2 linked regions of the Macaca mulatta genome follow. The protein of the gene in region 1 purifies or fractionates together with the protein of each later gene. This does not show direct contact. Links are inferred from orthologs where the notes say so. Each region holds a gene or a part of one and is shown on either strand. Other genes may lie near its edges. The genes, in order: SGK2 and FKBP5.

What was found.
Region 2: the proteins of SGK2 (region 1) and FKBP5 purify together in Homo sapiens (affinity purification with mass spectrometry; 3 studies listed by BioGRID and IntAct, with this or other methods). This does not show direct contact. The link is inferred for Macaca mulatta from reciprocal best matches to the Homo sapiens genes SGK2 and FKBP5.

The regions. Positions count from the first base shown.
Region 1 is NC_133415.1:96,414,715-96,418,533, forward strand, and holds part of SGK2 (serine/threonine-protein kinase Sgk2), read left to right. Parts: intron 1-801; coding exon 802-957; intron 958-3,819. UniProt on the Homo sapiens protein: Serine/threonine-protein kinase which is involved in the regulation of a wide variety of ion channels, membrane transporters, cell growth, survival and proliferation.
Region 2 is NC_133409.1:146,649,552-146,653,370, reverse strand, and holds part of FKBP5 (peptidyl-prolyl cis-trans isomerase FKBP5), read right to left. Parts: intron 1,602-3,819; coding exon 1,459-1,601; intron 539-1,458; coding exon 424-538; intron 1-423. UniProt on the Homo sapiens protein: Immunophilin protein with PPIase and co-chaperone activities. Component of unligated steroid receptors heterocomplexes through interaction with heat-shock protein 90 (HSP90).

The sequences.
Region 1 (3,819 bases):
AGTCTGGGTGACAGAGGGAGACTCTGTCTCAAAAAAAAAAAAAAAAAAAGTTAGTGTAGCACTTTATTGTTTACAACACACTGTCTCACCTTGGGTGCCTCAAAATAGCCTTTGGAGACTGACAGAAGGAAATGGAATTATTCATATTTTGCTGATAGGGAAATGGAGACCAAGAGAGATCACAGTCCTGATAGGTTGTGGAACCACCCCTGGCCCCAGTCCTAGGCTGCCTGCTTAGGTAGAGGCATGTGTAGATTTGCCCTAGGTCATGCTTTGCTTTGGGGGTGGTTTCACCAACATAGCTTGGTTCCTAGGAAGGAACAGACTCTGTGGATTAAGGGGAAGGAACAGCTGGAAGAGGCTTGGGAGGAAGAATAGTAAGAAAGAGAAGGGGACCCTGGATATGGTTTGGGGCCTGGCTCTCTTTCTAACTGCAGCATAATTGCTCTGAGTCTTGTTTTCTTATCTGAAAAATTACAGCTCTCTTGGAGGATAGTTATGAGACTGGGGTGAAATGATGAAGGTGAAAGTGCAAATGTTGCCAAATGCAAAGTTGGTGAGCAAGCTAGATGAAAAGAGATGGGCCTCACACTGGTGGGAAGAGGCTTCTGGCCTTCCTAGCAACTCTCTCCATCGTGCCGGAAACCTGGAGTCCTGTCTCTTTCCAGTCTGCCATGCGAGCCATTGCACAAGACGGGGGTCATGCTGAGTCCTCCCAGCGCCCACCTTGCTCCAAGTCTCCCGGAGCCTGTGTTCACTTTTGCATGGGTGATCCTCCAGTTGCTCTCCCTCTCTCCCCAGCCGCCCTTCTACAGCCAAGACGTGTCCCAGATGTATGAGAACATTCTGCACCAGCCGCTACAGATCCCTGGGGGCCGGACGGTGGCCGCCTGTGACCTCCTGCAAAGCCTTCTCCACAAGGACCAGAGGCAGCGGCTGGGCTCCAAAGCAGACTTTGTAGGTGACCTGCCAGTGGAGCACTGGCCCTCAAGGGACCCGCAGCTTCCTGCAGAGGCAGCTCAGAAGCACATTAACATGCACCCTGCTGCCCTCTAAAACCAGACACTGCTCACTTGTTCATTTGGAAATTCACTACTGCTACTAGCTGACTGCTTTCTCTAGTCTAGTTCTCTTAGTCAATCAATATTTACTAAGCACCAACTATGTGCCAGGTATTGAGCTACGTGTTAGGGATTCAATAGACTGGGTCTCTGCCCTTATTAAGTTTGGGGTGGGGGCTGGGTGCAGCGTTCATGCCTGTAATCCCAGCACTTTGGGAGACCAGAGCAGGTGAATCACCTGAAGTCAGAAGTTTGAGACCAGCCTGGCCAACATGTTATAAACCCCACCTCTACTAAACATACCAAAAATTATCTGGGCGTGGTGGTGGGCACCTGTAATCTTGGCTACTTGGGAGGCTAAGGCAGGAGAATCACTTGAACATAGGAGGCGGAGGTTGCAGTGAACTGAGATCATGCCATTGCACTCCAGCCGGGGCAACAAGCAGAAATCCATCTCAAAAACAAAAACAAAAAGTCTGGGGTTGGGGGTAGGCAAAAAACCCAAACATTATATACAATTATCACAAGATATGACAAATGTCAGGAAGAAAATGAACAATGAGCTGAGATAAACAATAATGGGAGGGGAGCAAATTAATACTGGCATTGTCAGGGAGTTCTCTCTGAGGGGGTGACAATTAAGCTGAGGCTTAAGGATGAGAAAGAGGCAGCCATGAAGACAGCTGGGCAAAGGCTCCCCAGACACAGGGCACAGCATGTGCAGACGTCCTGCTATGGGAACAACGAGGAGAGTGGCAAGTTTTAGGGTGTTTTGAGCAGAGGTGTGGCATGACCTGATTTAAGTTTATAGAAGATTCCTCTGGCTTCTTTGTGGAGAGTGGACTGCATTTGCTTTTTTTTTTTTTGAGACGGAGTCTCGCTCTGTTGCCACGCTGGAGTGCAGTGGTGCAATCTCAGGTCACTGCAACCTCCACCTCCCGAGTTCAAGAGATTCTCCTGCCTCAGCCTCCAGAGTAGCTGGGACTACAGGCACATACCACCACGCCCAGCTCATTTTTGTATTTTTAGTAGAGATGGGGTTTTACCATGTTGGCCAGATGGTCTCGATCTTTTGACCTCATGATCTGCCCGCCTCGGCCTCCCAAAGTGCTGGGATTACAGGCGTGAGCCACCATGCCTGGCCTTTTTTTTTTTTTTTGAGACTGAGTCTGGCTCTGTTGCCCAGGCTGGAGTGCAGTGGCGTGATCTCGACTCACTGCAACTTCCACCTCCCAGGTTCAAGCAATTCTAATGCCTCAGCCTACTGAGTAGCTGGGACTACAGGCACCCGCCACCATGCCTGGCTAATTTTTGTATTTTTTTTAGTAGAGACGAGGTTTCACCATGTTGGCTAGGCTGGTCTCGAACACCTGACCTCAAGTGATCTGCCCGCCTCAGCCTCCCAAAGTGCTGGGATTACAGGCATGAGCCACTGCACCGAGCCAGCACTTGCTTTTTACAAATATCTGAGCACTTCTTCCTTGCCAGACCCCAGGCTGGGCAAATGGGATATAGGGATAAATGATTCATAGTCCATTCTTAGCAAATTCATTATATTCATTCATTAAAGTGGCACTTTAAAAATAATCCTACTTTTTAAATTCAACACAAGATAATTTGGATTTACAAAAAGAAGGCCACAATACTTTTCTCACCAGGCTTTTGCTTTCTTTTCTAACACAGTGGTTAAGATGAATGGACTAGGCCAGGTACAGTGGCTCACACCTGTAATCCCACCACTTTGGGAGGCCAAGACGGGCGGATCACCTGAGGTCAGGAGTTCGAGACCAGCCTGGCCAACATGGTGAAACCCGGTCTCTACTAAAAGTACAAAAATTAGCCGGGCGTGGTGGTGGGCGCCTGTAATCCCAGCTACTCAGGAGGCTGAGACACGGGGTGGGTGGAGGTTGCAGTGAGCTGAGATGGGTGCCACTGCACTCCAGCCTCGGCAACAGAGTGAGACTCTATCTCAAAAAAAAAAAAAAAAGAATGGACTATGAGGCAGACTACTTGGGTTCAGATCCCTCCTTCACCACTTACTGGTTACAGGACCTCGGACGTGTTGCTTAGTTTCTCTCTGTGAGCCGCAGTTTCCCCATTGTAACACCTAATATAGCTGTTTTGAAGATGAAATGGATTAGTATTAATGTATGCAAAGTGCTCTCAGCAGTGTCTGGCGCACAGTAAGTGCTTTTTAAGTGTTTGTACCAAAAGCTTTACATTCAGTTACTGTAAATTATAACAACATTTAGGGCATCTGCTGCCTACTCCTGGCCAGCTTAAAGAACAGGAGTTTCCATGAAGATAAGTCTCCTGTTCCAAGCAAAAATTTGCATCTTAAAAAAAAAAGTATGACTCTTAAAATAAGTTATACAGGCCGGGCGTGGTGGCTCAAGCCTGTAATCCCAGCACTTTGGGAGGCCGAGACGGGCGGATCACGAGGTCAGAAGATCGAGACCATCCTGGCTAACACGGTGAAAACCCGTCTCTCCTAAAAAAATACAAAAAAACTAGCCGGGTGAGGGGGCGGGCGCCTGTAGTCCCAGCTACTCGGGAGGCTGAGGCAGGAGAATGGTGTGAACCCGGGAGGCGGAGCTTGCAGTGAGCTGAGATCCGGCCACGGCACTCCAGCCTGGGCGATAGAGCGAGAGTCCGTCTCAAAAAAAAAAAAATAAATAAAATAAAATAAGTTATACATTCACATAGATCAAAATTCAAAGGGTACAAAAGAGTATCCAGAAAAAGTCCTTCCAGCCAC
Region 2 (3,819 bases), on another chromosome or scaffold:
GACTATCTTTGAGATATATTCAATACTTTTTTTTTTTCTGAGGCAGAGTCTCGCTCTGTCACCCAGGCTGGAGTGCAGTAGCACCATCTTGGCTCACTGCAACCCCCACCTCCCCGGTTCAAGTGATTCTTGTGCATCAGTCTCCCAAGGAGCTGGGATTACAGGCATGCACCACCACGTCTGGCTAGTTTTTTGTATTTTTAGTAGAGATGGGGTTTCGCCATGCTGGCCAGGCTGGTCTCAAACTCCTGAGCTCAGGCAATCCGCCCGCCTCCACCTCCCAAAGTGCTGGGATTAAAGGCGTGAGTCACCACGCCCAGCCGATATGTTCATTTCCATAAACATATTTTTTTTAAGTCTCCATTTCGTCCACATAAATGGTCCAACTTTTAAGGACTAGTTCCCTCTTACTTTAATACTTACTTTCTACTGTTGCTCCTTCGTTTGGATTTGAATATCCCTCTCCTTTCCGTTTGGTTCTCCGGATAATGCCTCCATCTTCAAATAAGTCCTCTCCTTTGAAATCAAGGAGCTCAATCTAGAAAGAAAAAAGGAATTCAGATGAGAAAAGACCAAATAAAGCCAATTTAACATATGTGAAGGCAAGGGCAACCAATTATTTCATTTTACAAAATAAAGCTGTTTCAAAATGTATACATTCATTTATGCATCTTAATTATTGGAAAAGTAGCAAAAAAAAAAAAAAAAAAACCCACTATACTTTTCCATACTTGGAAAGAATTTCACATAATGATAATGTCTAGGACTATATCCTAAGGGACTGCGGTGCAGAGACAGGAAATACTAGGAACACTACCCTGTGGGCAAAAACCCAGAGCTTTACAAGGTGCTGGTGTAGAACAGTTTGTCTGAGGCCACAACTTTCCCACCCTGGATTTATGGAGTTCCCTTCTCAAAATGTAAACATAAATTTCATGAATGTGGCCTATGACTGATTAAAGGTATATTTTACCTAGCTGGGGTAGTTCTTAAAAATCAAGTTTTGCCAAATATATGTAATTTCAACACAGGTTGAATAATGTTTTATCACCATCAAACACTTCTAGAGAAGTGAGATCTGTGACATATAAACCTTTATAATATGAAAATACCCTGCAACTTGACATAGGCATATTTCAACATTTATTGCCAACATTTCCATCCTGCATTCTGGTCAATTTTGAGTATGTCACACTCACACCATGGACCAGATTCTTTATTTCTAAGTGTAGTGTCTTTTGCGTATTTGGATATGACCTTTTTGTGGTGGAAATACGTTTCTCAAAAAGCACTGGCACGTGCACCCTTGGGTTTGTGGGAAACAATCCAAGAAGCCATGCTCCAAAATAAGTAAGTTGGATGTGATTCTCTATAGCTCCTTTTCCCACTGCCTGTTGCTTCAAAGCCATTCCTATTGTAGAGCAGATGCTGACAAGGCAACATCACACACATACTTGCCTCAAAAAAGAGAGTTGCATTCGAGGGAATTTTAGGGAGACTGCCAGCTGAGCCATATGCATATTCTGGTTTGCACAGTAAATGGCATATCTCTCCTTTCTTCATGGTAGCCACCCCAATGTCCCATGCCTTGATAACTTGGCCTAAGAGAAAGGAAAAGGTAGTTGAAAGCTATCAGCCCTATTTAAAAATATTTAACTTTCATTAAACAAAAGTTCAAATTTCCAGTTTTTCATACTACATATTCAGCTAGAAAGTATGGGCTACAAGATGACCGAGTGCTACATACAAATAAATAAATATTTATTTATTTCAAGGCTATCATAAAAGATTCCCTGTTGATCGGCCCAGCACTTTGGGAGGCTGATGTGGGAGGATCGCTTGAGTCCAGGAGTTTGAGACCAGCCTGGGCAACATAGCAAGACCTCATCTCTTAAAAAAAAACAACAAAAAAAACCCCCAAGGAACACAGCTGGGTATAGTGGTGCACACCTATAGTCCCAGCTACTCCAGAGGCTGTGGTGGGAGGACTGCTTAAGCCCGGGAGCCCAGGAGGTTGAGGCTTCAGTGAGTCAAGATTATGCCACTGCACTCTAGGCTGGGTGACAGTGAGACCTGTCTCAAAAAGGATTCCCTGCTGAAAGGGATGAAAGTAGTATAAATTCCTAAACTACTCAAAAATTAAGTCTTTGAAAACTGGTGGTAACATTATCCATGAAATATGGCTGTGTTGCAACTGTTGCTTAATTTATCATTTCAACTATAATAAGCACACATTTTCTAGGCAAAGATAGAACAAAAATAGTATTGAAAAATAGAGTTTGTCCTAAGGAAGCTTGTAATTTAGTTGGGTAGACAAAAACAAAACAAAACAAAACAAGAAGTAACCAGAACAATATAAATTGCATAAAAGGGTCTATGAAACACATTTCTTCTCGAAATTTAGAATCAGAAAAAGGTTTCTTTAAACAAAAACGTATGTGTCTTTTTGTCAAACCACAACTACAGAACTTAAAATGTTTTATTTTTTGCCTACTTCCAGGAAACTAAGTTAAATTTACTGCTCAATTGTAGGACTATATTAGGCTATATAATTGTAATCTCAATGTTTACAGTTCCTATGATGTGCATCATTATCTTACTGTAAGCAGTATCAAGTCCTTTGGGAAACAATAGAAAATTCAGGCAATTTAAAAGGCTAATTACATTTTGGTGGGGCATAGTGGCTCACGCCTGTAATCCTGGCACTTTAGGAGGCCAAGGCGGGTGGATCACTTGAGGCCAGGAGTTCAAGACCAGCCTGGCCAACATGGTGAAACCCCGTCTCTACTAAAAATACAAAAATTAGCCAGGCATGGTGGTATGTGCCTGTAATCCCAACTACTTGGGAGGCTGAGGGAGGAGAATCACTTGAACCTGGAAGGCAGAGGTTGCAGTGAGTAGAGATCATGCCACTGCACTCCAGCCTGGGCAACACGGCAAGACACTGTCCCAAAAAAAAAAAAAAAAAAAAAAAAAAGGCTACATTACAAATGAGGTACTTTGTTAATCAAAAACATTAAGTATCTGGGGGTTGGGCACGTTGGCTCACGCCTGTAATCCCAGCACTTTGGGAGGCCAAGGTGGGCAGATCTCTTGAGCTCAGGAGTTTGAGACCAGCCCAGGCAACATGGTGAAACCCCATCTCCACAAAAAAATATTGAAAAAATGAGCCAGGCGTGGTGGTGCTTGCCAGCTACTCAGGAGGCTGAAGAGGGAGGATTGCTTGAGCCCAGGAGGTCGAGGTTTCAGTGAGCTGAGATCATGCCACTGCACTCCAGCCTGGGCAGCAGAGTGAGACCCTGTCCTGTCTCAAAAAACAAAAACAAAAATGTAAGTATTCAAAGTGGGATCAGATAAGAGATGAACCCCAGAGGAAGTGAATTTGAAGTGAGCTGGTGGTAGGATATTAGGACAAGTGAAACCCTACATAACCGTATGTAAGCAGGGATGGATAAACCATTTGTCATTCATGATTTTAGCTTAATCTTCATTAAATATTACAACTTTTCCAAATGTAAGCTACATTTATTTCAGTTAAAAATATATGTTAAGTGGCCAGGAACAGTGGCTCATACCTGTAATCTCAGCATTTTGGGAGGCCAAGTGGGAGCATCCACTTGAGCCCAAGAGTTTTAAGACCGGCCAGGGCAACACAGTGAAACTCCTTCTCTACAAAAATTTAAAAAATTAGTGCAGCATGGTGGCACATGCTTGTAGTTCCAGATACTTTGGAGGTTAAGACAGGAGAATAGCTTGAGCCCACGAGTAAGAGGCTACAGTGAGCAATGATTATGTCACTGCACTCCAGCCTAGGTGACA